Linked DNA regions of Cricetulus griseus. The protein of the gene in region 1 purifies or fractionates together with the protein of each later gene. This does not show direct contact. Links are inferred from orthologs where the notes say so. Each region holds a gene or a part of one and is shown on either strand. Other genes may lie near its edges.

Region 1 (15,313 bases):
AAATTCCCAAATATTGTTCATGAATGTTTGTTTTAATTTAAATGGGGTTGGTTGGAAATGGTTAATGATCACAGTCAATTTCTTCCTAAAGAAAAAAGGGAATATGATATAGAAATGTATACTTTGCATTCTTATGACTTTGTTTTATTGATACAAATTTAAGGTCAATTTTGTTATATGTGTATTTCTACTCTTGTTTAGGTATCATGTTTCTATAGGTCTTTTAAAAATTGAATGTATAATTAAATACAGATTATATATAGTCACCTATAATAGTCAAAACTTATGTTAGTTAAGTTTTCTAGATATACAGAGATATATTTCAAATAGATAGGTATTATCAATACCTTTCAAAGACCTACAGAATATGGCATTTAAAATGTTTTTGGATTTTTCATTACAGTGAGACACAACTGCTCCTGACAACACTAATTATGTCAGAGAGGAAGATGAGCATCAAAGAAACTCCTTATGGAGTTTGCCTTCGACATGGCAAGACTAGCTTTGGGCAAGAAACTGCTCTTGCCTGGACTATTTGACTGTATGCTGTATAAAGTGAACATGCAGGACCCACAGGAAAGTGACTGCTGAACTTGACAAAACAAGATGGGACAGTCCTTCAGGGTTCCTGCTTCATGGAAAAATCTGCCAGACATTCTGCAGGGCACAGAGAAAAATGAATGACAAACTGCCAATGCAGGTGGACAGTTTCAAATATCCTGCTTCACTGAGAAGTCTGCCAGACACATTAGGCCTATAGGCAGAAGATGGATACCCCAATATCACAGAGAAACTTTGGGTGACTGTCCAGGCAGCAAGATGTTTCTGTCAATTCTAGAGTTTATAGATTATCCTTCTGAGGTCTTTGATGAAGTTGAAGACAGAAGATAGTTATGGTTATGGTTTTCCTTAGTTATAATAAAAGATGTTACATATAAAACTTTAGACTCACAAAGATAGGATAGATATTTTTTTCAAATTTTGCCAAATGTAAATGTTAAATTTTGCCAAATACTGTTAACTATAGTTCTTGCTTGATAAGTGTTTTGACATATATAATTTTACTATGTTAAAGTTAAAACCTTCCTTTTTACTTAGACAGAAAAGAGGAGATGATGGGGGATGTCATTCTGTATATATGCTTCTCTTACTGGCTGATGAATAAAACACTGATTGGTCAGTAGCCAGGCAGGAAGTATAGGTGGGGCTACCAGATGAAGAGAATTCTGGGGAGAGGACTTGGAGAGTGAGCTGCCAGGGAAATGCCATTAGCCACTGAAGGAATAACAGGTCCCAGAATTCTCAGGTAAGATAAGGCCATGTAGAAACACATAGATAATAGTTATGGGTTAATAACTAACCAATAAGATGCCTAAGCCATTGGCCAAACAATTTATAATTAATATAAGTCTCTGTGTGGGGCTAAACGGCTATGGGAGGAAGAAAGAAACTCAGTCTACAGTAGAGTGCTTGTCTAGTATGATCCCCAGTGCCACATAAAACGGTATGGTGAAGGATTGTGATCCCAGCAGTCTATTGGAGGACCAGGAGTTTAAGATCCTCTACTACATTGTGAGTTCAAGACTAGTTTGGGCTATGTGAGATCTTATATAAATAAGAAAATAAACATGATTTAATTGGATAAGTCTTCAGTATCTTTCTTGTCCTGTCTAAAAGTAAGTGAGTAGAAATGTTTGGACAAGCTGCTATACATCTTTGTTAAAGGAAAGCTATTCAGATAATTAGTTGAATCTGTCTGGATTTATACAGACTTTCAACAGGAGGAAAATAATATAAATAATTAGTTATCTCTGGGGTCTGGAGAGGAACTGAAATAGTGGAGGAAGATGTTAAAGCCTTATTCTATACTTCTGTATTATTTACTTTAAGAATAAAGTTCCACAGCCAGGGCTACACGGAGAGACCTTGTCTCAAACAAAAACAAAAACAAAGCACATACACACACACACACACACACACACACACCAGCAACAACAGCAAAAAAACCAAATAAAGTCCCAGAGATGGCTCAGTGTTGAAGAGCACATGCTGCTCTTTTAGAGGACCTAAGTTTGACTCTAATCTCTCCTCTGTCCAATGGTCTATTTTGCACTCCTCCAGAATATTTAAAAGGCTGCTAATGGGAGTTTTTTCTGTGGTCTGGTGAATCTGGGAACTGATATATATATATATATATATATATATATATATATATATATATATATATGCTTTTTAAATGCCCATGAGCTTAGAGAATCTCTAAGCTGGGAAGCAATGTGTAGTTCTCAATGTAGCTGATCATGCAAGTTTTTGTTGAGAAACACTATTGTCCTTCTCAGAATTCACATTGAGAAATAATGACATAAGGGGAAAATGTGCTTAGAACTTCTGGCAGCATCCACGGCCTTACTCAACACACCCTCACAGTCATGTTTCCCCCACTTCCCAAAAACTAGCTTCCTTCCTTGCTCTTTCCATCTTGAGTTTCCTATTTGTGGCCCTGTCAGTCTCCTCCAATAAGCAGCACCTATACCATCTGATAATAATCTTTAGTCACATATAGGCACCATAAAAACTTGTGGCTTTTTAAGAAATAATACACATCTCTCCCAGTTTGAATGACTGTCACTTGTACAATGCTGGGGTTTCATACAGCTTAGGCTGGATTTGAACTCTTGATCCTCTTGTCTCCATCTCCGAGGTGCTGGTATTACAGGTGTGCATCAGCATGCCTAACAACGTATCCCTTTGCACTGGCAGAGAAAGTACTGAAAATGTTGTTGTATTCATTTTGTATGCCTGCTGAAATTAATTGCCTTGAGCTTGATGATTTAAATCAGCTCAGCACTGGGCTAAAATCAAGGTGTAGAAAGGGTTATGTTTCTTCTTTGGGAAGAATCTCTTTGGGTTCCTCTCCCAGTTTCCAGAAACGTCTGGATTGTGAGGCTCCTGATTATTTCCCTCCATCTTCAAAGCCAGCAGGGATGGGTTGGAAATTCTTTCTCATTTCATCAATCTCTGTAATCTCTTCTGCACCCCTCCTTTCTCCCTCCTTTCCTCCTTCCCTCTCTCTCCCTCTGTTTCTCTTTCTCCCCCCACCCCTCTTCTTGACAGGGTCTGCTGTAGCCCAGATGATCTTGAACTCCTGATCCTATTATCTCCTCTCAAATGCTGAAATTATAGGCTTGTGACCCTACACATGACTCCTGAGGAAGACACAAAGGGAAAATTATGGTGACCTCAGGAGGCAGAAGAGCCTCCACTCTAGAGTCTGATTGAAGTCTTTCTCTCTAGTCAATAGTGAACAGTTCCAACACTATTAACATTTGCTGTGAAGGTTGTCAGTGTAGGAGATGATATTCTTATTATTATTGTAGAGAGAATGTAGAGTTATTAAGAGAAAGTAAGAAAGAATAATGCCTCCTTAAAAATTTTTTAAAACTACATTTTAATTTAAGGTGTGTGTATGTGGCAACTGTGTGATGGAAATAAGAGGACAACTTTTAGGAGTCAGTTCTCTCCTTCCAAGTAGGATGTAAGATTCTGGAATTGAACTCAGGTCTTCAGGCTAGGTGGCAAATGCTTTTACCTGCTAAGCTATCTTGTCATTGTCCCTTGCCATCTCACAACTTGCCCATAAAAGCACAAATGCACACACACATACCTCAAACCACCACCACCACTTTTGAGACATGATTTCCACATAAAGCCTAGACTGGCCTAGAACTTGCAATCCTCCTGCCTCCACCTCATGAGTGCTGGGTTTACAGGTATTGTGCTGCCATCCCCAGCAGTGGGGATGGTCTTGTTTTGCTTTGTTTTTCCTGTTTTGTAACCCTGCCTAGTCTGAACTCACTATGGAAACTAGGCTGGCCTTGAACTCACATTTACCTTTGCCTCCCATATGGGATTAAAAACATGTGCAATCACACCACTTGGACTAGTGATGACCTTTAAAACATTATAATTATATAGAGAATGTTTAAAAAGCAACAAACTGTTATAGACTAAGCATTTATGATCTTCAAGTATGGCCTAACTTCTCTCTCAGATATTTCCCCTGAATCTTACAACAAAACTAAACCTTTGTTTACAGTAAAGACATTTTAAATTCCCCTGCAACCTTCCTTGTGACCTAGAATTTTACCCTATCAGTTATGTTCCTATTCACCAAGTAGGAGCCACCCTATGATCTCAGATTCTTCAGCAACTCCTTGAAGATGATAGATTTGAAATCCTTGGTGGATATGGAGCCTGTAAAGACAAGGCAGGACTCTCTGAAAAGCTCATTCTCTTGGCTATGTCTTTCTTTCTGAGACCCTCACTGCCTCTTAACCATAGAATTTAGAATCTATATGAAAATCTCTTTTAATAAATTCCAATTCCATTTCATATTTTATCACGCTGAGATGAAGCAAAGTCAAGAGTCAGGTTTTCTCTGAATCCAGCTCCCTCTCCTCAGGTGGCTGGTGGCAACTTGGAGGAGCACCACATCCCTGTTGACAACCCCCTCTTTTCCACTTTGGGAAGACGCTAAGGACAACCCTGAGTCTACTCAGATTATCAAAGATAATATCCCTGCTTAAGGTCAGTTGATTAGCAACTTGAACTCCATCTGTAAGCTGAATTCTCTTTTCCCATGACCTAACATACATTTCCCAGGAATTATTGGGTGAATATTCCTCTGTGTGTTTAGAGGGTGGGGTGAGAGGGGGCAGAGGAACATAGCAGAGCCCAGCCTGGGCTACACAGTGATTTCAAAGCCATTCTGGGTTACAGAGGGGAGTGAGACTGCCTCAAACAACAATAAGAACAAAACAACTATGAGGAGACGTTATAGCAAATCACTTGAGTCTTAACATTGACATTCGCTAAAATGGAAGTTGCTGTCCTCTGTGTTAAATTTATTTAACCTGGCTTAGCTTGGAGGCCAGCAGATAAGACTCAAGGTCTTGATGGATCTTTATGAGGATGGTGGGTGACGTTCTCTTAATGACATTTGGAGATAGTGTAAGAGATTTCTGAAGAGAAGTGCTTATCCTTAACTGAAGCGTAAGGTAGAAAATTCCAGCAAAAGGAATCAAGAAACAAGCTTCCTTCAAGGCTAAAATGAAGTAAGAGTTTAATGTCCTGGTCTCCATGTAGCAGACACTACTGAACTGAAGAGATTCATTGGTGAATCTTTATAGGTAAATACTATATGTATTATATCCAAAAGCAGATACAATTATTCTGTCATTCAATGTGAATTAAGAATAAATATAATAACAAAAGACTAAAGAAACAGGTTCCACCGAGATTTGAACTCGGATCGCTGGATTCAGAGTCCAGAGTGCTAACCATTACACCATGGAACCAGCACAGAAGCAGCACTATCTTTGGGAGTCTAATGGTAACAAAACCCCGCCCCCACCCCCCCCTCGACCGGAAACAAACACTATGCCTCTCTTCCCTGCATGGTTAAGGAAAGAACAAGCCAAAGGCCCGTAGGACTGTATCTAGCTGGGCATTTTAAGACTGTTCCATGTAAGCCTTCCGAAGCCGGCCGAGAGTGCGGAGTCCACTCCCGTGCACACATCAGGGGCGGGGCGCCACTTCTCCGGAAGTCCTTCCTGTGAGGGACTGGGGCCTGACGGAAGTGACGCAGAGGCAGGGCGGGGCTCTTCACCGGGTCCGGCAGCTGAAGCTCGGCGCTCGGGTTACCCCTGCAGCGACGCCCCCTGGTCCCGCCGCTGTCGCCTCCGCCGCTCCCGCCCCTCAGCTCCTCGGCCGCGCCATGGGCACCCGTGACGACGAGTACGACTACCTCTTTAAAGGTGAGTGCTTGGGCCGCCGAGTGCCTGTTCGGGCCCGAGACACTCCCGGGGGACCCGCGCGAGGGCTAGAGCCCTGCCCTGGACGGAGCCCGCCTCAGCTTCCTCCCTGCTGCCCCGACGGGGGTCCCGCCGGCCGGCGCAGTTCCTGCGCCTCGGGGAGGGCTGCCGGGCCGCGTCGCCCCTCACTGTGTGTCTTCCCCGATGGCTGCGTTCCTCACGGTCTGGCAGTTTCTTCCCTGGGCATCTCGGGCCCCTCCTCTTGGATGCACGCTGCCGGCCTCACATCCCCCTCTGACAGGCCCCTGCCTAGGCTCAGCACCCATTTTGGGGCACCGACTCTACGGGGTTTTTGCTTGTTTATTTGTTTGTTTGTTGTCTTTTTTCCTTTTCATTTCCTTTCGTTTCCCCTCCCTCCGAGTGAGCCTTTCCTGGGCTTCGGCCAGATTCGCCCATCCCAGGGCCCCCACCCCCATCCCTGCAGACCTCGAGGTCAGTATCCGCGGACTGACCTCTCCCTCCCCGCAGATGGGCAACTCTGTGCCTTTCCTTTTCACCTAACGTTCAGAGCTGCGGTGCGACCTGGCTGGTGGGAGGGGAGACCAAGGGAGGGCAAGAGGGCCTGTCCATCACCCCTGGCGTGCGTGCACTTGTCGCAGTGTCCAGGCAGGCAGATGACTTCCCACCTCGCCTTTTTAACCCCCTTCCTTCTCGTGTCCCTGCTCAGCTACAACCAGACCCAGATAACTCCTTTACTTGGCTTTCGTGAAGGGGCTGCGGATGGGTGGTGGCTGTTATCCCTGCCAGACCTGAAGGCCCAGTTCCTGGACAGGAAAGGTTGTGCGCTGCACAAATACTAGCTAGCTTATCACTATGGACTGGTTGCTTCCTGCTGCAATACTGGGAGGATCCAACAGGAAGGGAAGAGCCCTGGTTGGTCACATACCTTTCCCCAACGGTGGGAGAGGGTTATAGTGGTGGCGTGCTCTTTTAGTGAAATTAAGAATTTATTGCAAGGTAGGGGAAAATGCGAAGCGGGTGGACAGACATGGGAGGATGGGGAGTAGATAGAGAATTGCTTATTGGTTGAGTCCGGAAAGAAGCCAAAGTGAAAGGATACAGTTCCCAGCGAAAAGAGAGTACAGTGAACGCTTTTTTTGTTGTTGTTCATGAATGCGCTCTCACTTTCGTAGTCTTGCTCTGCTCCTGATTTAGAAGGGCAGCCATCAGTAGTGTGCTGAACAAAGATCATTACCAGAGAGGAAGAAGCTTTGCTATTAAAGCTTTACTGTGGAGGGTGGAGTTTCAAGAGTGTGAAGCATGGTGTTTCTGGCTTTGCCATTGGGTGCTAAGAGTGACTGACGAAATGATGAAGCAGGATACACTTCTTTTGCGATACCATATACTTTTACAAGTCTTGGTGTATTAGCTGCTGGTACACCCTTATCATTATTTAGCCCCCGGGATAGTCTGTTTATATGGTAAGTTAGTAAGGTACCAAACTTTAAAAATACAAATAGGAAAACCTGGTGTGCTGTAGTTAGCCTTTAAAATTCCAGCATTCAGGAGGCAGAGGGAGGTTGATCGTGTGGGTTCCCAGCCAGAGTTACATAGTGAGACCCTGTCTCAAAAAATCAAAACCAAACCCAAAACAAATTGGAGACCTAGAATGCTGAAGGCATCTGAGATGATGTGAAATTACTTAAATCCCAGGAGCATTTGGGGTTGGTTTACTTAAGTACTTCGTAATGACAGTGAGTACCTAGTCTCTTTCGAAGTTATTTCTATTTGATTTGGAATGTGAAGGTTGGCTATAGAAAGCTGTTTATTTTTCCTAGGAGTGTTAATTTATCCTAGATTGTGGAGAAAACACTAGGGCTTTATATTTGCCTGTGACTTTGGAAAAGTTAACTTTTCAAAAGTAATTTTTTTATTTTTTGAAATTATAATTATTTCCCCCCTGCTCAACTTTTTTTAAGCCTCAGTTTCCTCAGTAAAGGAAATCCTGTGATACCTTTTTGAGGAATAAGTGAGATTGTAAAATTTAGCTCTTGTGAAGATTCAGTAAATGATATAAATGAAATTGTTACAATTCTTGTTAGTTCTTGAGCCATAAATCTTTTTAAATGTTTAAAAACGACATTTATTGATGTGTGTGATAATGTGCACATGGCACGTGAGGAGGTGAGAGAACACCTTTTGGGGAGTCGGTTACTTTCTTCCACTGTGTCAGTCTCAGGGGTGGAACTCAGGTCATCAGGCTTGATGGGAAGCACCGTTACCCACTGAGCCATCTCACTAAACAATCAATCTTTATGTTAAAGAACATGTAAGTTTTATAAAGAAGCACAGAAGAACTAAGAAACTTCTGAATTATTTTGTATCTCTGTGGGTTCTGGTTTTATTTTTTATTTTTTTGTCGTATAAGACTGGATGTTTAAAAAATTTGCCAGGCATTGGTGGCACATGCCTTTAATCCCAGCACTTGGGAGGCAGAGGCAGGTGGATCTCTGTGAGTTCAAGGCCAGCCTGGTCTCCAGAGCGACTGCCAGGATAGGCTCCAAAGCTACACCGAGAAACCCTGACTCGAAACCCACCCCCCCCAAAAAAAAAATCTGCTGAGAAGAGTTTCCACTTTTTAGAAACTGCTACAGGATATGAGTCACTTTATTTTTTATTTCAACACTGATTACTTAGCCAATTTTTTACTTATACAATTATTTTAAAATGATTTCATTCCAGAGAGATTTATTCTAAGATGAACCAAAGCATTTCTACTTTGGAGAAGGCTAACTTAGCACACTGCATAGTTAAGGAAATTGGAGTTTGTAACATTTAGCATGAAGGGGTATGTTTATCACATGGAGTGGAGTAGTGTGAGTGGGGATGTGATATGGACAGGTAAGGACAGTTCTAAATCATGTATTTGTTCTTGAAAATTAAATTTTATAAGTAAAATTTGCTTTGCAGTGAAACCTATGGAATTTGTTTTATTTCTTAAAAGCATGACTGTTTAAAAACATGTTAACCTTGTACATACACCAGTGTGGTTAAGATGCTGTGGGATAGACAGGTGGCTGGACACCAGGACAATGTGGCACTTTCTGGAAGCAGGTGGGAACATAGTCTACTCTCCTGGCTTTTTCTTTCCACGTGTTATGAATCATCAGCTGATCATCAGTAGAACCATCCCTGTCTTGAATCTTGGTAGCTTTTCTTTCACAACTTTTGGTTGAGCAATTCAGATTCTGATGAAGCTGGAAAACTTGTCTTAGACTTCAGCATTATTGACACATTTTATTTTAAAGGCTTGGTGAGGTTGGACTTTGAGTGTACTTGAAAGTAGAAATACTTCGAAGCTTTTGAAAACCAGTATGAAAATGGTTAGGGATTTCAGCTGGTAAGCTTTAAAGCCAGTATTCTGTATGTATGGTGAGGAGATAAACAGTAAATGAGCTTACTAGAGAAGTATAAAACTAAGTGTGGAGCATGGAGGCTCGTGCCTGTGATTCCAGCACTTGGGAGGCTGAGGTAGGTGGATAGCCATGCTTTTGAGGTCAGCCTGGGCTACAGAATGAGATCCTGTCTCAGAAAATAACAACAAAAACAATAGCAAAAATACTTAAATGTGGTTAGAGATAGAAATTTTAAATTTAATAATAGACAATGTATATGCTCTGCTTTTATAATATTTAGCAGTTTGATATTTGTGGTATATATAATATATAAAACATATATGTAAACAAATTAATATTAGATATTGGGTTGAGCTTCAGCAGATGAGGCTAAGTTCCAGGGAAGCATATTTAGGAATTATATTGATATTTGATATATAGATACTATTATTTGTCTTACAGTCATGTTGTTTAGTATGTACTCTATAGATGGCTAAAACTGTAGGATACTTAACTATATGTCCATTCAACCTAAGATATTAGTAATAGATATATAAAAATTACTAAAAATTTCTTTACATTTTTATTGCATTTATCTGTTTGTTTGTTTGTTTATTTATTTATTTATTTATGTGATTATATGTATGTTGGGCTTGTGTGCCACGGTGCGTGTGCGTGGAGGTCAGAAGTATGCTCTCTTTCTACCATCAGCCTTGGCATCAAGTGTCTTTATCTGCTGAGCCATCTTGCTGACCCAGAAATTGATTCCTTTAATTATTGGTTGTGAACATAAAGTTTCTTACATAAAAAAAAAAAAACAGAACAAAACAAGAGGCGTGGTGGGTAATAACTCAGTGATAAACCATGTGCTTAGCATGAGCCCTAGGTTTAGATCCCCAGCACCACTGGGGGAAAAATGTCAATGTTGTCATCTTAATGAGAAAAAGTATTTTAACTAGAATTTAATATTTAATTTTGAGTCCACAAAGAAAGGTCCATTAAGGGTTTTTGTTTGTTTGTTTGTTTGTTTGTTTTAATCGTAACCAATGAATTCTCTTTTGTTTGTAAGGTAATTCATACCATCCATCCATCCATCCATCCCAAATAGATCCACTCATTTTGATTTCTCATTTGGTTAGGAAATAAAAACATCTCTCCTTATCATATCACATTTCAACACACACACACACACACACACACACACACACACACACACACACACACACACACACACACACACACACACACAGTCTCTCTCTCTCTCTTACAAAACTGGAGTCTTCTGCCATTTCAAACGTCCTTTTCCTTTGGCAAGTTGCAAGTCTTGACTTTTGGAGATCTTGTCAGTAAGCTAGTTGGTATAACTTTTATAGTTTTAGAGCATTTGTAATGTTGAATTATTTACAAACTTACTACTTTTCAAATAATAAAGTTAATTGGTTACATGGCCGTGGATTCTTCAGTTGGTATGGTATAAAGATTTGATGTTGGTGAGATAGTAAATTTAGTCATTTGTTAAAAGTGGAGGTCAAGCTGGGCATTGGTGGCGCACACCTTTAATCCCAGCACTTGGGAGGCAGAAGCAGGTGGATCTCTGTGAGTTTGAGACCACCCTGGTCTACAAGAGCTAGTTCCAGGACAGCCTCCAAAGCCACAGAGAAACCCTGTCTTGGGGGGAAAAAAAGTGGAGGTCAAAACATGAACCAGGGGCTTCGAATATGACTCAGCAATTAAGAGCACTTGTTACTTTTACAGAGAACCTGGGTTCAATTCCCAACACTACATGGTGGCTCACAACCATTCATAATCCCAGTTCCAGGGGACATAACAGGCAATGCATGTCATGTACATACCTGTATGCAGGGAAACCATCCATATACATAAAGTAAGATAAATTTAAAAAAATTCAAGAATGGCTAATGTTTTAAAACAAAACAAAACATGAACTACTGCTGGAGTTTCTGTGGGAGCTGTACATTGTTCTTTGATGGTGTTTCCCTACCAAAAGGTGATGTTAGCTAGAGGCCTTGTTTGCATGTGTTCTTTGTCTTTAAATTGTGACGGACTGGTTGAAATGGGAGTGTCTATGAATTAATTAGATGTGTGCTAATCTTTGGTTTTTCCTTCTTCACTATATATAGCTCTAGTTAGTGTTAATGCTAGTGTGGGACCAGAAGTGATTCAAAGGAAATTTCCTCAGCAGGTTATTCTGCCTCCTTTTTTAAAAATACACATACTTATTTTATGTCTGTATGTATGAATGTATGTTTGTTTTGGTGGTGTATTGGCTTATGCCATTGTGTGTGTGTGTGTGTGTGTGTGTGTGTGTGTGTGTGTGTGTGTGTGTGTGTGTGTTGTGTGTGTAGAAGTCTAAGAAGGAGTTGATTCTCTCCTCTCTACCATGTGGGTTCATGGGATTGAATTTAGGTCTTTAGGCTTGTCAACAAGACCTGTTGAACCATCTCCTGGCCTAAGTTTCTATACTCTTGGAGTGACTGAAGGATTGCTATTCAGGAAAGGTGTAGGGAGTTTTGGCTGAAGCTCAGACTAGGTTCTTAGCTGGGGCCATTTTCCCAGCCCCCCCTCCCCCCAGGAGTTGTGCTCTGAACATTTAGCATCTTACACTAAGAAACAACAGTGAATGTATCTTATTAATAGGGAGGCTCTATTAAGAAGCTGGGATTCAACTTAACATCTACAGTGGTGGAGTTTGGAAACCAGCCTACTAACTAACCATTCTGTAAAATTGAAAGTGCATTGTTTTGTTTTCATGACCTTGACATTATTTTCCCTGATATCCAGTACAAGCATTTAATGTCTGTTTACTAGGATACCCTCTAATTGACAAAGATAGAAAGAACTTCTCTTTGCTGCACAGAGTCACTGCTGCTGGGATTTCTTGCTGAATCAGCTGATAGAGGAAGCCAGAAAGATATGCATTTGATAATGCATGGTTGTTATAAGGCCAGCTAGTGCTACTTCTGTGACAGAAAGATGTGCACAGTGGGCTCTCTTTGTCTGGAGTGCAGTCAGCCTTCTTTCCACATGTACCATCAAATCCCAGTCTTTTGAGTAAAGCATGGCTTTACCTTTCATGGCCTTAACCTTTCATGTTGATTTTCTAGTCTGATGTCTACATCAGTCAGCTAGTTTAGAAGCATTACTAGTCAAGAATAGAAATAAATATGGTGTTCACTACAATACCAACAAAATTTATTTATTTATTTATTTGTTCTTATTAGTTCAAAATCAACAAAAATTTTTATGCAGGAAAAAATATTGTCTAGCTCAGATTCTGTAAACCTATAAACGCATTTTGATTTTCGAGACAGGGTTTATCTGTGGCTTTGGGGCTGTCCTGGAACTAGCTCTGTAGATCAGATTGGTCTCGAACTCACAGAGATCCACCTGCCTCTGCCTCCCAAGTGCTGGGACTAAAGGAGTGTGCCACCACTGCCCGGCTTGATTTTTTTTTTTTTTTTTTAAGACAGGATTTTTCTGTGTAGCCTTGGCTGCCCTGTAACTTGCTCTGTAGACCAGGTTGGTCTTGAACTCAGAGATCTACCTGCCTCCTGAGTGCTAAGATCAAAGATGCGCACCCCTTCCCCACACACCCCATTTTGATCTTTAAACCCATTTTTTAACGAAACTTGTCTGAAGTTGGACATTATGACATACACCTATAATCTCAGCAAGAGGATTTTGAGTTCTAGGCCAACCTTGGTTCCAGAATGTGACCCCCCCTCTTTAATAATTTATTTATTTCTACTTTATACGCATTGGTGTTTTGCCTGAATGCATGTCTGTGAGGGTGTTGGATCCCTTGGATGCCCTGTAACAGGAGTTACAAATAGTAGTGAGCTGCCATGTGGGGGCTAGAATTGAACCCAGTTTCTCTGGAAGAACATTCAGTGCTGTTAACCGCTGAGCGGGGTGGGGTTGGGGGCTCCCTCTCTCCCTCCTTCCCTCTCCCTCCCTGTCCCCCCCCCCTTTCTCTTTTGGTTTTCCGAGACAGGGTTTCTCTGTATTGCTTTGGAGATTGTCCTGGAACTTGCTCTGGAGACGAGGGTGGCCTCGAACTCACAGAGATCCGCCTGCCTCTGCCTCCCAAATGCTGGGGGGATTAAAGGTGTGCACCACCAATGCCAGGCTCCTCTCTCTCTCTCTCTCTCTCTCTCTCTCTCTCTCTCTCTCTCTCTCTCTCTCTTTCTCTCTCTCTTCTTTCTTTCTTGACATGAAACTATATATAAACCAGACTGGCCTCAAATTAAGAGATTCCATCTGCCTCTGCCAAGACCCTCACTTAAACAATTCAACTTGTTTCTCAATTTCCTATTTCCCTTTTTTGTTTGTTTTGATACTGGGTCTTACTATGTAGCCCTGGCTGGCCTGCAACTCTATGTAGACCAGATTGGCCTCAAACTCAAAGATCTGCCTGCTTCTTCCTTCTGGATGCTGGGATTAAAGGAGTGAACCATGCCTAGCTCAGGAATTTATTTTATTTTATTGTTTTATTTGTGGGGTTGGTTTGGTATGTCTGTGAACTTCTTGTGTGCAATATCAGCAGAGGCCAGACGAGGGATTGGATCCTTGAACTGGAATTACAAACTGTTTTCTGGAGTTAGAGGGTTGTAAGCTACCATGTGGGTGTTAGAAATCAAACCTGGGTCTGTTGATGTCTTGCTCTGATCTCCCAGACAGGCTTTATTTTACAAGCAAGTTATCACCACACCTGGGTCCTCAGGAAGAACAGCCAGTGCTCTTAACCATTGAGTCATCTCTCTAGCCCCCCCAAAATTCTTTTTTTCCCCCAGAAATTCTTTTTTTTAAAATTAATTACATTCATTGGGACTGGAGAGGCGATTGAGTGGTTAAGAATTAGCTGATATTATGGAAGACCCAGTTCAGTTCTCAGCACCTGTTTACTACTGCAATTCTTCTCTGTCCTCTGGGCATTCCCCCCTCATACATATACACATAGCATACTTACAGAGACTCCTGTTTATACACATAGAAAATTATATTCATTCATTCATGTGTGAGCTCCGCACACATATGGAGATCAGAGGACAACTTTAGGAGTAGGCTGTCTTCCACCATGTGGGTCCCAGAGATGGAACTCTAGTCCTCAGGCTTGACAGCAAATGTCTTTACTGCCTTCTATTCATAGGAAATGAGTGTAATCAAAACTTGTTTTTGAATTTTTTAGAGAGTCCTAAGTGAAAGTGTTTGCCCTCCTTACTTTGGCTTTGACTCAGTATGTCAGATTGTTAGCTTCCTAGGGCTCCTGTTTGTCCATATAGAGGTGAAGTGACCCTGTGGCTTTCTGCCAGTCTGTGAAGTGTAACTATTAAAGATGATTATAGTTTCTATGACCAGAGCAGCAAAGCTTGTAACCCTCATGCCTCATGTTTTAAATGTGTTTCAGGTCTCACATCACACCTTGTCTTCAGTGAAAGTAGTAGAATGTGCACGTTTTCCCACTCTATGCATTGGTATCTTTTGTTTGATGCCTAAAACATGTGAATAACACAAGTTGTTATTTACCTTTCAGAATACTTTCTAAGGTAGTGACATTGCCATAAATTAAAGGTAATTAATGTTTGCATCAGTGGCTAGGATACCCTATGTTTAAAATTGCAAAATTGAGTTTTTAAGGGCTGGGGATATACATCAGTGGTCCAGTGTTTACCTTACATGTGTAAGGCTCTGGGTTTGAGTTCCCAGATAGGACAAAAAGCGAGGGATATAGCTGGGCGTTGGTGGTGTACGCCTTTAATCCCAGCACTTAGGAGGCAGAGGCAGGCGGATCTCTGTGAGTTCGAGACCAGTCTGGTCCACAAGAACTAGTTCCAGGACAGCCTCCAAAGCCACAGAGAAACCCTGTCTTGAAAAACCAAAGGGGGCGGTATTTTTTTAGATGGGGTGCTATGTCTGATCTGTGCTGAGTAGATAATGTGTGGAAGTCATCATGCAGATAGAAATAAATTATAAAGAGTAAGTGGATTTTTAATTGATTGGTCATAGACAAACTATTTAGCATTATGCCTCTCTCAAATCTTTGGTTGTATTTATTTTAAAGCTGAGTGTTCTTTTAAAAGCATG
Region 2 (15,254 bases), on another chromosome or scaffold:
CCAACCAAAAAAAAAAAAGGCTGTATAGACTGCTAAGCAGGGATAGATCAAGTACAATTACAATAGACAGCTGGAAATTCAAAGTAAACAGAGCAGTCAAGATGCAGTAACTAGAGACCAGACAGTCCTTTCTAAGAAAACCGAAGAGACCATAAATCATCACATTCTACCTGCAAAACACAAAATTCCTGACTTGTTCTAATGAGGAAAGACTATCAGACCACCATGATAACCAGTAATTGCCAAGGTCATTCCTGACTGACATCCTGAACCTTATATATAAACATAAAAGAAAAACAATTGTAATGTAGCAAAACAGTAAAGATCTTGTGCGGTGGTAAGCACTTTTTGTATTGTTAAAGCTTGTTAAAAATTATTGTCAAGAGCAGCATAGGGCTCACAGGTTCTGTAGCTAAATACTACCCAAAAAATCTACTTAGCACCACAAATTTCATAAGGTTATTTGAATATAGAAAATGGCAAGACATTATTTAAAAGGTATACCCTGGGCTGGGGAGAAGCTTAGTGGGTAAAATGCATGACACAAATGTGAGGACTACAATCTGGTCCTCCAGCACCCAAGTAAATGCCAGGTGGGCACGGAGGTCTGTCTGAAATTTCAGTTCTCTTTAAGGAAGCAGAGGTTCCCCCAAGCTAGACTAGCCTTCATCAGTCATCTCTGTTTAGTTGAGACTCTGCCTCAATGAATAAGGTGGAAAGTGATCAAGAGGGCAAACATATATACACACACCCACACACTACACACACACAAAAGGTATATACTTTAAATAAGCTTCCCGGGCAGTAGTGGCGCACACCTTTAATCCCAGCACTCGGGAGGCAGAGGCAGGAGGATCTCTGTGAGGTCAAGGCCAGCCTGGTCTACAGATCGAGTTCCAGAACAACCAGGGCTATTACACAGAGAAGCCCTCTCTCAAAAAAAACAAACAAAAAACAAAAAACAAAAAACAAACTAAATAATAAATAAATATATAAGATTAACCTAAAAGAAACATTATACATACTATTTCCACTTTATCAGGAACTACAGAGTGAAAACTCTGACCATTAAAAAAAAATCTGTCACATGGTTAGGCATGGTGATGCACACTAATCCTAGCACAGAAACAGGCAAGATCTCTGAATTCAAGGCCAGCCTGATCTACACAGCATGTTCCAGGCTAGGCCAGTCCAGACTCCACAGTGAGACCCTGTCACAAACCTAAATAAATAAATAAATATTGGGTGGATTGTTTTAGTGTGTGTAGATACACACAGTGCACATGCCTATCATGGCAAGCACATGGAAGTCAGAAGACAGCCAGCAAAAGTCAGTTTTCTCCTTCTCCCATGTAGGTTCCTAGGATCAAGACAGCAGGCACCTGCTGAGCCATCTCATTGACCCATCTGATGTGTTTTAAAGTAAAAGCTGTCCAGGTGTCCTGGTGTACTTGGGAGGAAGGAAGATCTCTGCATTCCAGACCAGTTTGGCCGATACAGGAGAGTCAAGACTACACAGAGAGACCCTATCTCAGAGAGAGAACTGGACACAAAGATGCACACGCATAATCCTCTCCTACCACTTGGGAGGTAGAGGCAAGAAAAACAGGAAACCAAAGTCAGTTTTGGCTACATACCAAATCTGAGGCCAGCCAGAACTACATGAGAAAGCCCACCTCAAAAATTAAACCGTGGGGGCTGAAGAGATGGCTTCAGTGGTTAAGAGCACTGGCAGCTCTTCCAGAGGACACGTGTTCAATTCCCAGCAACCACATGGTGGCTCACAAGCATCTACAATGAGATCTGGTGCCCTCTTCTGTCCTTCAGGCAGAACACTAAATAAATAAATAAATAAATAAATGACCTTAGAAACAAAAAGAACAAAAATATATGTCTAATCCAGATAATTATTTTTAAAAAGATAAAAATAAGCCGGGCCTTGGTGGGCGCACGCCTTTAATCCCAGCACTCGGGAGGCAGAGGCAGGCGGATCTCTGTGAGTTGGAGACCAGCCTGGTCTACAAGAGCTAGTTCCAGGACAGCCTCCAAAGTCACAGGGAAACCCTGTCTCAAAAAAAAAAAAAAAAAAAAAAAAAAAGATAAAAATAATTCTATCTTAGGAGGAAATACCCCTCAAAGCATGAAAAGAAACAGGACGGGAGGGGAAATAAGGACGGGGCAAACAACAGCCAGACTATTAGAAACTTAACACAGAAGCTCTCTAATGGGTGGTGTCAGCTCACCTATAACTATGAATAAACAACAAAGACCTGTCTTAACTTTAACAACAGTTTCCTACTTTCCTGGTGTGAAATTTAAAAGCAAGTCTGGAGGTACAACTCTGTAATAGAACATTAGCATGGGCAAGGCCCAATGCCCCTCCCCTACAACTGGGGGAGGGTCATTTTCTAGATAAAACATTTTAAGAACTACCTCACCCTATCACAGTCCTTTCCTTTAAGTATAATTAGCTGAAATGTCAAAACCATCCTAATTTTTCAATAATATTATAACAGTTTTAATATTATATATTACAAATATACAAAATCTATTACTTATTCAATGATTTATACATACAAATATTTACTGGCTTCCAGGTATCCAACATTTCTCATTCTCTTACCTGATTTTTCCACATTTAGGATGAACAAGTGCTAAAGAGAAAGCACAAAATAGTGTATTAGGCTGACTTATCTTTAAAATAATTTCCATTGCTGACAATGTAAGATTCTGGAGCAATGAGCACTTCTAAAAAGAACATGAGAAGTCTTGGTGACAAAAGCCTGTAATCTCAGTAGCAAAAGATGAAGACAAGAGGATCAGGAGTTTAAGGTCAGCCTGGGCTACATGAGTCTGTCTCAAACAAAACAAGACAAAGAATCTGAGAGACCAGACCATTGATCAAAAATGTAGGTCACCCCCCTCCTAGCACCCTAGCTTGGTAAAACTGTTTAAAGAAACATAAAATGATAAAAATGTGTGAAGCACATGAGATGACAATCTATTTGAGTTAAAGTTAAAATGCACACTGAACACACAACCTACTTTGCTTCTTCATGAAAACACTACTGACACTCGGATGTTTTAGTTTTGCTGGGGTTGGTGAGACACCTCATGGGGAGCTGATTTCAAATCCTCATCTCCCATGTAAAAAGCAGGCACAAAGCAGCACAGACCTATAATCCTATAATCCTGGCACTGGAGAGGAGACAGGAGGAGCCTTTGGGGTTTGCTGACCAGCCTAGCAGACTGGCCAGCTCCAGATTCAGTAAGTCTGTCTCAAAAGACTAGGATAGAGTCAAGCCAGGGAGTGGTCAAGCATGCCTTTAGTCCCAGCACTCGGGAGGCAGAGGTAAGCAGATCTCTGTGAGTTGGGAGACCAACCTGGTCTACATAACTAGTTTCGGGACAGTCGGGGCTACACAGAGAAACCCTGTCTTGAAAAACAAACAAACAAACAAACAAACAAAAAAAAAAACCACTGATGCAGGCTCAATGGTAAACATGTCCCATGCAAGCCTGGCAGCCTGAGTTCAAGCCCCAGAACCCATGCAAAAGTAGTAGTCCACAACACAACACCACATGAACGCATGCACACACACCATGGCATGCATGCCTATGTACATATATACAAACTCTAATAATAATTTAATTAAAAAGTGCAGATGATGCTGGGTGTACCCTTTAATTCCAGCACTTGGGAGTCAGGAGGCAAGAGGCAGGCAGATCTCTGTGAGGTCAAAGCCAGCCTGGTCTACAGATCAAGTTCCAGGACAGTCAGGGCTATTACTGAGAAACTGTCAGGAAAAACAAAGCAAAGCAATAAAAATAAAGCCGGGTGTTGGTGGCACATGCCTTTAATCCCAGCACTCGGGAGGCAGAGGCAAGTGGATCTCTGTGAGTTCGAGACCAGCCTGGTCTACAAGAACTAGTTCCAGGACTGCCTTCAAAGCCACAGAGAAACCCTGTCTCGAAAAACCAAAAATAAATAAATAAATAAATAAATAAATAAAAATAAAAATAAAAAATAAAAAGTCCAGATGTCTGAACTAGAAATCAAAGCAGCACCTGCCACTGCACAGAGAACAGGTACACAGAATAAAGGTGCACAAATAAATTCCCACCATGCTCTGATTCTGTGTCAGGGCCATGGTGAAATCAAACTGTACTTAATACTGTAAGTTTATTTTTATATTATTTATTTGAGTTGTTTTTGTTTTGTTTTGTTTTTGAGACAAGGTTTTTCTATGTAGCCTTGGCTGTCTTGGAACTCTCTCTGTAGACCAAGCTGTCCTGGACCTCAGACCTGCCTGCTTCTGCTTCCCAAATGCTAAGATTAAATGCCTGTGCCACACACCAGGCTTAATACTATTAATACTATCATAACATCAAGTTTTAGAAATACTACTGCATGGGTCCTATTCCTAGAGATGCTGATGTATTCAGTCTAGAGATGACAAGAACTTTTTTTTAAAGCTCTCCATGAGACTCTAATGTAGAGCCAATGCTGAGAACCAGTGCCCAAGGTTAGATAGGGTAAACCTGGACATTAGGAAGCCCTGTTTATAAACTCGGGTTTTTCCAACTAGCTGTCTCCTGCTCTCTCTTAACTACAAATAGAAAAACAAGGAACTGCCAGCCAGTCTTGAAACTCACTACTAAACAAGTTGTAATACCAAGTTGAAAGTTAACCTGGAGGAAGCAAACCAGACAAAGAAAAGAAAGCTTAATAAAAACCATCGTTAACATCCTCCGATATAGGGGCTGGAGAGATGGCTCAGAGGTTAAGAGCACTGTCTGCTCTCCCAGAGGTCCTGGGTTCAATTCCCAGCACCCACATGGCATCTTACAACTATCTATAACTCAAGTTCCTGACACCCTTATACAGGCATACACATGCAGGCAAAACTGTAACATACATAAAAAATAAAATAATTTTTAAAAAATCCTCTGATATAGACAGTGCATCCTCGAAAACAAGGCATAGATGAAGTAGCGACTGACAGGGGGGAAGAAGCTGAACCAACCACAAGCTTACAAACGGGAACATGTGTCAAGAAGCAACTAATCCGGGCCATTCACAAAAGCCCAAAAGACTAAAGAACAGTGCTGAAGAGGTTAAGACATTGAGTCTGTGTAAGGGTACAGGTAAGACTTTCTAGGTTCCCATTCCCATTCTCTCATCATTTATTCCTGGAAACACTGACCTGGAGTGACTCCAAACTCAAGTAGAGTGAGGCTGAAGGCTGAAAGCCAGGTGTCTGTAGCAAACAGCAACCACCCTCTGCCCATTTCCTCTGCCCAGCTTTCATAACACCGGCAGCCAGACAGACATATCAGCTACCCTCACCCACAGGAGACACATTCCAAGACTCCGGTGGACATCCAGATATTCTCACGGCACCTGCTCACCGCCACTCATCACAATGTGGCCGTGCAGGCAGAAGCAAGACTGCACAACTATCAAGACTCCTTCATCCTTTCTCTCGTTTTACAGATTGAAGATTGTTCTTAAGTAGATCTTAGCAACATCACTACTCTGTTTTTATTATTAAGTCAAGAACATTCATTCACGTTTTCAAAGAAGCATTTTGCAGCTCCACTTTCAGCACATTCAAGGGTGAAGTAACTCTTGCACTTGGTGCCATTACTAAGTAAAATAAGAGACACTTGAACACAGGCGGTGGAATGCCAAAGTGGCTGACCAGATGACCCCAAGGGTTACTGACTAACGTCTGTGTACAGCCTAGATATCCCAGACAAAGGAGTAATTGGCTTCTCACTTGGATAGTGTTCAGCTACTCAAAAATGGCATGTAATTTAAAACTTAAAAACTAAATGAGCTAATGTGTATCAAGAGCTCAGAACAGTGGCAGCCTAGAGTACCTAAGTAAGTTCAGTAAAAGAAACTTTAAGACTCCTGAGTTGTTTATTTCTGACATTCTGCAGATATTTTCAGACCACTGATAAAAGAAACCTTGGAAAGTTAACACAGTTGCTCATGCAAGGACAGTAGGTTCTGTCCCCGGCAACACACAAAACAGTGGAAAATAAAGAGATCATGAAAAAAAGATAAAAGCATAATACATAAAAGAGGCACTTCACAAAATACAAAAATGGCCAATAAAATTTTAACCTCGATCACCACAAAAAAATGTAAAATAAGGCTACACACTGATAAAGTACTGTACCACCACGCAAGTCGCACAATTTTTTTTAAAAAAATGATGTGTCTGCCAGGCGTTGGTGGTGCACACCTTTGATCCCAGCTCTCGGGAGGCAAAGGCAGGTGGATCTCTGTGAGTTCGAGACCAGCCTGGTCTACAGAATGAGTTCCAGGACAGCCTCCAAAGCCACAGAGAAAACCTGTCTCAAAAAAAAAAAAAAAAAAAGATAAGCGTCATCATTGAGTACTGGACTAACTGGAGTTTTACTGAGTACTAATGGGTACAACCGCCTTGGAAAAGGCCCGATAGCACCTAAAGTCAGAAACCTAAAAACAAAACAGTATCTACCAGAAAGAGTGGCAATACCCTGCAAGGAGGTAGGAGGCAGGAATTTGTCAACAATTGGGCCACACAGCAAGACTCTCATCCAGAAACAAAACCAAATACATTCACAAATAAATAAATAAAATAAAAAATTCCACTCCTCCGAGGAATATACCCCAATCTGTAATGTCTATTTCTTCTTGGTGTGTGCTGTTTCACTTAAACCTCGCCACCTGCAAACTTAGGACTGTGATCTTTTTCTGCCAACACACTTGAATACATTTTCTACTATTTCCCTGACAGAAACTTCCCAGAGAAAGGCGAGCATTTTCCTATTTGTCCCACAGAATGCAAATTCCCGAAACGCCAAGGAATTTTTAACTAATAAAATTTGGAAACAAAACCCCAAGCCGAAGATGTAAAAACTACCAACAGCTCGTGTTCCTCTCTCCTGACTTCCTTCGGGAAGCTCTGGAACTCACTCTCTCGGCGGAGAAAAGGAGATTCTTCTCCACCGCAGCTCCGAGAAAACCGCTTGCTGCTCCCTAAAACCCCCTCCAGCTTTTCAAAATAGGAGGAAAGCGAGGCAACCGGTTCGCCGGTCCAAAAGTTCTGCTTAGCCCTCCTGCGCCAAGGACGCCCCCCTGGATGACCTCAGGTCAGGGAAACCAGCGCAGACACCGCCGTCGCCACCACCGCGATCCGAGTGCCGGAAGCGGCGCGGCTCACCTGGGGCTCGCCCGCGGCTCACCGCGACTCACCTGGCGTGCCCATCCATCACCTGTCCGCAGCCGCCGCGGCCACGCGCACAAGCCGGAGGCCAAAAACAGACACCAACTTTCCAAGTTACGGAGGCGACTCCCGGGCCGCAGCGCGGGCGCACCGACGACCGAGGCCGCCCGGGCCAGGCGAGCGCGGGGAACGCAGGCCCCGGCGGGCTCGCGCCGCAAGTTCGGCAGCGGCCCAGGGCGGGGCGGCGGCGCCGCGCTCACCACCCCTCCTTCCCTCCATCCCCGCCGCAGCCCGGCCTGGCGCGGCGCCGCTCACCTTGGAAACCTGCGGTGGACGTCGCCGTCAACATGAACTTCCCATCCAGCCGGCGGCCGCTTCGCCGCGCGCCGCCGCCCGCCGCGCCGCCGCCGCCTCCCAGCGCCTCGGCCCGAGCGAGCCGCGTCCCCGCCGCGCTCCCCGGCGCGCGCCTCCCGCTCCGGAGCTCGGGACCTCGGGCCGCTCGCCGCCCCGCGACCCTCAGCCGGACGCTCGCCCGCCCGCGACTCCAGCGAAGCCCGCACCGCAGCCCCCGCGCCCGCGCGCCCGCCAGCTCCGCCCGGCTTCGGCCGGGCCGCTTCAGGAAAGCCCAGGGCGCAGGCGCGGCGAGGGCCTTAAAGAGCCCCGGCCAGGCCTCTACGGCATAATGGGTTCGAGCAGGTTGGAGCCCCGGCCGGTTGGCGAAGCAGAAGCAGAAACCGAAGGAAGGGATTGGGCCGCAGGCAGCGGAGGCGGGGAGATCCCTGTCTGTCCTCCGCCCCTCTTCCCAAGCACCCTGCCCTCGGCCCTGCAAAGTGCTGACATCCACAGTCGCCAGAACCGCCCGCCCGGTGCCCGTCGGGGCAGCAGAAGACACACCCCCTGCCTGGAGACACCCCACCCCCACCCCGGGCGAGCACCCCGAGCCTGGCTGCGGGCTTCCAGGCCTGGGGCGCGCAGGTTGGACGCGCAGCCTTCCCAAGGCTGCCCCGAGTTCAACTCTCAGAAACGTTACTCAGAAGGATGGCACTTGACGAGGTTAAACGGGTCCTCACCAATCCTTTGGACACCGTGGGGTTTATTCGGAGTCCGACAGAGGGCAGAAGGTGAGCAAATTATCCAGCACCAACGAAGAAATTCTTAGAAGGAAAGTACTTAGTTCAGGACAAAATAGCCTATTCATTCGGGTCCTGTCTCAAGAAAAGCAGGCAAGAAAAAATAATAGAGGCAATGTAAATCTTTGTCACACACTTAGAAGTGATCGAAATTATAGTAACTATCACCATGCAGTCCAAAAAAAAAAAAAAAAACTCCAAAATTGTCTACTAATCTGATACCCTGGTTTTCTTAAATTTGTATTTGTAAGACCTACCCAGAAAAGGTTCCACTATCATAAGCACTTCTAGAAAAGAATATCTTTCAACAAGACTAGGAACTAAGAAATGGGAAGTAAAACCATGTCCTCCACCCAGCTAAAAACTTTGAAAATTTCAAAATGGTCTGAGGCAATTTTTTGCATAACTTTGTTATGTTATTAAAGTCAATTTTAACAACTTCATTGTAACTTAATGCATCTTGCATAACAAAATGAAACATTTTTTATAATCTACTTCTCTAATTTATTTGTAGATCCTGTTGCTTTTATCTACTGGTTTCCTTAAGTCCTATGTCCTCCCATCACCAACCACCCTGCTCAAACTTACTCTCTCCTGCCGGTAGACTCTTTAAAGACACTGACCTAATTTATCCATATCCCTCCTACCCTCCTCTAAATCTCCTCACAACACAGAAAGAATGCTTGTTCAGAGTACTATGTCGTGTGACGTTGTCCCTGCATAGCGTCCCACTCCCTCAGACAAAACCTCCTAACCAAGCCCTTCAGTGCCAAGCATCTCTCCTCTCTGCTCTGCCCACCTTCTCTAGCCATAACTGACCTCTTTACTCTGAGCAATTTCTCCCTCCTGACAGCTTCCTCAGACTTCTGTTGCCTGAGAAGTTCTTCTTGCCCTCATCTTACCTAGACCTTGTTCTCTAGGTCTGAGGCGAGCCCTTTGACTGCCCCTATGTTAGTCCTGTCACCTTCCAGGAAATTGTAATTATAGGACTCTTCTGGGGATGTTTGATTCTACTACTAAACATCTGGCTCCATAAGGCCAGGAGGGTTAATTTTACTTGATTTGTAGTCATATTTTCATATTTGTTCGGTGAATTCTAGAATCATAGGTTTGAGAACTTGAACCACATGTGGCTTAAATGTACTGACATCATAGGTAAATGTCACACTTTGACATCTGGAGTCAGAACTTAAAAAGGAATGCTAATTATTATTAAAAAATGAACTTTAAATTCTTTGAGCTGGGATGTCATAAGAGTCTTTGGGTAATATGTAAAACAGAGTATGCAAACCTCCCACTGAAGGACATACCAGGCTATGGTGGTGCACACATTTAATCCCAGCACTCAGGAAGCAGAGGCAAGCAGATCTCTGTGAGTTTGAGGCCAGTCTGGTCTACATAGCAAGTTGCAGGACAGCCAAGGCTAAACACAGAGAAACCCTATCTCAAAAAAAAAAAAAAAAAAAAAAGCTGTAACTGTGGACACCGTGAAACTATTAACACTGGTTGTTTCAAAAGTAGAAGATGGGATAATTAACAATGAAGCATCTCCAGAGATGGGAAGATGACTTTTTTTTTTAATACCCAAAAGGCTTAAAATAGTACTTTTCCCATTTTTAAGCATGTGAATTACCAACTTTTAAATGAATGACAACAGGGTACATAGTATATAAATTCCAAGTATGCAAAATTTCAGAAAAGGCAAAACTAAATGTAGTGAAAGCAATGATAGCAGAGCTAGAGGGAGAGCTTATTGTGGTCAGCATGTTATGATGTAATTATTTTGAAATACTGATCTCAAAATACTATTCCTGAGGAGGGCCGTTACCTTGGCCCTCCAGCATCATCCCTGGCTTATGCCTTTCTTTCACTTGCCCCAAGTGTGTCAGTTTATTTCCTAAAAGAGCTTACACTTCAATGCCCCACTTTAATTGTTAATTCTAACACTCATGGTGCTCAGGCACTTTCATAAGTGATATGCCACTGTGTGAGTTCTACTCTGACACCGCCTCTGCTCATGCCACTCTGCTGTTTATCTGCTGCTTACACTCTAGAGTTGAGACTCTGGTCTAGACCCTCTCATGAAAGAGACAGAGGAAGTGTGCCAGTGAGCAGCAGCACTTTCTTCAGAGGCCAGTTTATTTAGTCAATTCAGTTAGCAATTCCAAGTTCTCTTAGCATGGATTTAGGTCACTATCTAGGAAGGAAACTCCTCTAACCTGCCAAGGGTTAAGTCACAGAAAACCATAACACTGACTGCCAAAGGTGTTCAAGTCAGCCACATGAGCCCCATCGATCACCAAAAGAAAACAAGGGAGGCATTCTTCAGAGAGGTCAAGCCACCCCAGGTACAGAGGCAGAACTCACCGGCCAGGTCAAATCCACCCGTGAACACCACCACTGTCACCCTGAGCATGAGGCATCTGAGCACCCTCAGAAAAGCAGGGCGCTCATGTCTATTCTAGGATTACACTGTCTAATTCGGGGGCCGTGAGAGCCACTATCCACGCTTATATCTCAACAGTTTCAGCTTCTCAGTCACACTCACACATTCCAAGTGCAGTAACGGCACCTGTGGCCGGGAGCCCAGAGTCAGAGAACATTGCCTGCCGTCTGTCAGAAGTTACATTGGTGGCACTATTCCAGGAGGAAGAGGAAGACAACTCCACTGAGAGTCCCAGATAACGGTCAAAACTGTTTGCTTTGGGAAAAAAATGAAGGCTGGACGGTGGTAGTACACGCCTTTAATCCCAGCACTCCAGGTGGATCTCTGTGAGTTCGAGACCAGCCTTGTCTACAGAGCTAGTTCCAGGACAGCCTCCAAAGCCACAGAGAAACCCTGTCTCAAAACAAAACAAAACAAAACAAAAAACAAAAACAAAAACAAAAAAACCTGAAACAGTTACAGCACACCTCCTTAGGCTCTCTCTCTACTTACCACAATGGGAATCTAAGATACTCATGGCAAAAAGCTGGAGCCTCTCCACTTACTGGGGTTCTAAAAATGGCTTCAGCCTCACCACTTTACCTTCATCACATCCACTGACAGTAAGACACAAGCATCACCCTAGGAAGAACAGGCTGACAGCACACACTCTTGCTGCCGTCTCTTGACCCTTGTGTGGAGGGAGACACATAACATTGGTGGAGACTGAGCCTGTGGCTCCAGAGTCTCTCTGCCTCTCTCTCTCTGCATCTGTCCGTCTATGTGGTTTGTATGCCTGTGTCTATGACTGTTCACATGGGTGTGGGCATGTGAGTGGGTCCATGTGAAGCCTGAAGCTGATGGTTGGGAAAATTTTCAATCACCCTCTTCCTTATTAGTTTAGGCAAACACCTCTCTCTCTCTCTCTCTCTCTCTCTCTCTCTCTCTCTCTCTCTCTCAGGTTTCTCTATGTAGCCTGGCTGTCCTGGAACTCACTCTGTAGAGCAGGCTGGCCTTGAAATCACAGAGATCAGCCTGCCTTTGTCTCCCGAGTAAGTGCTGGGACTAAAGGCATGCACCACCAATGCTCAGTGATGGCCTGTATTCTTAAGCACAAGGAGCCACTAAGGAAAGAAACAACTGTCAACATTGCCACCAACTAGAATTTGTGAGTAAATGTTATGGTAACCATTTTCCCTGGCTAATCTGTATCTCCATGTGAAAACTTAGAAGCCTACATAGACAAAGTAGGCCTCTGTTTATAAACAAGATCAATAGCAGCAGCCAATAACAGCAGGGAAAGAAACTATTGAAAAACAAAAGCTAATTGTTAAAACATCTCTCTAGAAGGTGTGGAATTAAACCCACCACTTAATATAACTCCTGGTTGCTATGTGAATGTCCACAGTACCATGAGATAATATTCTTAAAATAAAACTGAAGACATATTCACTAACTGCTACTGTGCTTTAAAGATCAATCGAGGTACACAAATCCTAATTCAGTAAAAACTGAAATTCCCTGCTGCAATGATTGCTTTTTTATAAGCACCATAGTAAAAAGAAAAAAAAAATCAAACCCCGGTTTTAGACATTTACCTGCCTCCTATCGGGGTTTCTAAAAGCAGCAGTCATTTTGGTAGTAACCATGATGAGCCTGGAAAACAGAGACTGGAGATTTTAATTGAATTTACAGCTGACTCATAGGGAGTGTTTACATCGATGTTCGTACTGGGCTCCACCCATTTAACACCCTTTTCAGCTCCAGCCTGCACTTGATAGGTAGTAGTAACTTTAAGGGAAGTTAGGAATGTGGAGAATGGGGAAAAGTCAAAGCAAAGCCTTTGGGGATGTAGGCATCCTAACAGATGTGCTTTCTTCTCTTCCCTCCCTGCCTCCCTTTCTCTCCCCTCCTTTCTTCCTTGACTGAGTCAGAATGATCAAGTCTGAGATGCCAATTTTGAGGCGCTGGCTTGAGGCTTCTCTAATTTGGTACTCTCAGCCTGGACTTTAACTTCAGAAAAAAATTAACTTATCTCTCTGTCTCTGTGTGTCTCTGTCTCTCTCTGTGTCTGTCTCTGCATATCTCTGTGTTGTCTCTCCCTGTCTCTGTGTGTCTTTGCCTGTATTTCTCTGCCTCTCTCCCTCTAATACCCCATCCCCCAGAAGGAGGAGGTTTGAGAGGCTCACCATTTTCACCAGTGCCCATGTGACCCATCCTGAAACGACTTGAGACAGAAGCTATTTACTGAGGTAGGGCTTTTTGATGTTGACGATACCTGTAAAGGTCTGTGTGTGTGAGGAGGGAAGTTCTGATGTCTTATCTATCTTTGAGTTAGCCATGTTCCTCGGTGAATAACACCAATAAACTTGTTAATTTATGTATGTATGTAAGTATGTATGTATGTATGTATGTATGTGTGTGTGTATTTGTGTGTATGTGTGTGTGTGTGTGTATGGTGTTTAACTGTGCCAAACACTTTCCTAAGAGGAAGGGCAATAAGTGACTAAATTTTCAGCTCTGTAATAATATTACAAACGTTCACACAAAATAGTCATTGCTAGACACACTGAAGAGGTTGTGCTGTAGTGGTGGATGGCTCAGCGGTTACAAGCACTGACTGCTCTTTCAGAACTCCCAGATTCAATCCCAGCAACATGGCACCTCCCAGCCTCCTGTAACTTCAGTCCTGGGGAACACCAGACACTCTCTTTTAGCCTCTTGTGGTAGCAGGCGTGCACATAATGCACAGACATGCCTGCAGAAAAAACACTCATACCCATAAATAATTTTTTAAGGTGAGAAAACTGGGGCTGGGCAGTAGCACTCAGGAGGCAGAGGCAGGCAGATCTCTGTGAGTTCCAGACCAGCCTGGTCTACAAGAGCTAGTTCCAGGACAGCCTCCAAAGCCACAGAGAAACCAAGGAAAAAAATAAAGAAAAGAAGGAAGGAAGGAAGGAAGGAAGGAGGGAGGGAGGGAGGGAGGGAGGGAGAGAGAGAGAGAGAGAGAGAGAGAAAGAAAGAAAGAAAGAAAGAAAGAAAGAAAGAAAGAAAGAAAGAAAGAACTGTGATGACCCATAGTCACAACTTACAGTAAAAGAAAACACAAATGCAAGTTTGGGTCTCCCTTGACTATAAAACCTGTGTCATTTGGAGTTATTAAAATGTGGTACCTGTGTTTACACTCATATAAGAAAATAATATTTTGATATTAAAGACAAATGTAAGGGGCTGGAGAGACGTTGAGGTGGTTGAAAACACTGCTCTTGCACAGGACCAGGCTATATGCTTCCCAGCCCGAATATGGTGTGTTACAACCACCTGTAACCCCAGTTCCAGGGACTCTGACACCTTTTTGGGGCCTCCACAGGCTCCTGCAGTCACATAATACACAAATATACACTCAGACAAAAACACAAAGCTCACACAAATAACAAATATTTTTTAAAAGACAAGTTCAAGAAATAAATGGATAAAAGTGTGTGTGTTGTCAATATGGAGATTAATGCAGTGGGGCGATACAGAAGAGGAGTACCCCACCTGAAAGAGTCGCTCTATTTCATCTGTCTAGCTCCCTTCTGCATGATTACAGCCGGTGCAGTTGCCTCACACAGAACCTTAACTCCTTGTCCACCTCAGTTGGTTCTAGTGAATAAGCCTGGAAGATTCTTACCCTGAAAGTCCTTGTCCTCTCATTAGGAAAAGCTAAGGATGTGAATAAACCCAGAGGTTCCAGCTATTCTTAGAGAAGCAAGAAGCAAAACAGCACAAGCTTTCTGGTTCCAGCCAGCTGTGCCTTTCTTTCTTCAATGCTGTAAACTTCCCAACAACCTTTTAATGGCTCATTAACCCATCCTTTACTTATTTTATTTATTTATTTATTTATTTATTTATTTATTTATTTATTTTGGGTTTTTCAATCTTGTGTGACATTTGTTGTACAGGGTGACTTTGTGGTATTTCTTGGCTTCCAACTCCCAGGGTACCTTTCCCCTCAGAGCTGCAATGCTTACTGTTTTGATTTTTGAAACACAGTCTTATGTATTTTATTTAGGCTGGTCTTAACTCACTATGTAGCTAAGGATGATGTTAAACTTCTGCTACTCCTGCCTCTACTTCTCGAATGCTAGGATCCCAAGTCTGTGCTGCTACACCCAGTTTATGCAGTCCTGGGGATCAAACCCAAGGCCTTTTATGTCCTTTGCAAGCTCTCTATGAACTGAGCTACTTCCCCAACCCCTATCAATTTTTTTTCACTTTATTTTTTTCTTTGTGTGCAGGTTTTATTTGAAATATTTTTTAAGAACCATTACTAGTCCTCAGGACATGGGCAAAGATCACCCTCTGCAGTAACTTGGGAACTGCACACAGAACTGTGCAGCAGTAACATTTAAGCCAGGCTGGGGAATAGCCAGGGGTGGAGGTTCAGGCAAGGAGAGGAAATCCACTTCAGCTCCATGGGGCAGTATCTTGTGG

The links.
Region 2: the proteins of Rab11a (region 1) and Evi5 purify together in Homo sapiens (co-immunoprecipitation; 3 studies listed by BioGRID and IntAct, with this or other methods). This does not show direct contact. The link is inferred for Cricetulus griseus from reciprocal best matches to the Homo sapiens genes RAB11A and EVI5.

Annotation. Positions count from the first base shown.
Region 1 is NC_048597.1:176,345,685-176,360,997, reverse strand, and holds the start of Rab11a (ras-related protein Rab-11A), read left to right. Parts: upstream 1-5,655; 5' UTR 5,656-5,776; coding exon 5,777-5,816; intron 5,817-15,313. UniProt on the Homo sapiens protein: The small GTPases Rab are key regulators of intracellular membrane trafficking, from the formation of transport vesicles to their fusion with membranes.
Region 2 is NC_048600.1:2,643,983-2,659,236, forward strand, and holds the start of Evi5 (ecotropic viral integration site 5 protein homolog), read right to left. Parts: upstream 7,674-15,254; 5' UTR 7,539-7,673; intron 1-7,538. UniProt on the Homo sapiens protein: Functions as a regulator of cell cycle progression by stabilizing the FBXO5 protein and promoting cyclin-A accumulation during interphase. May play a role in cytokinesis.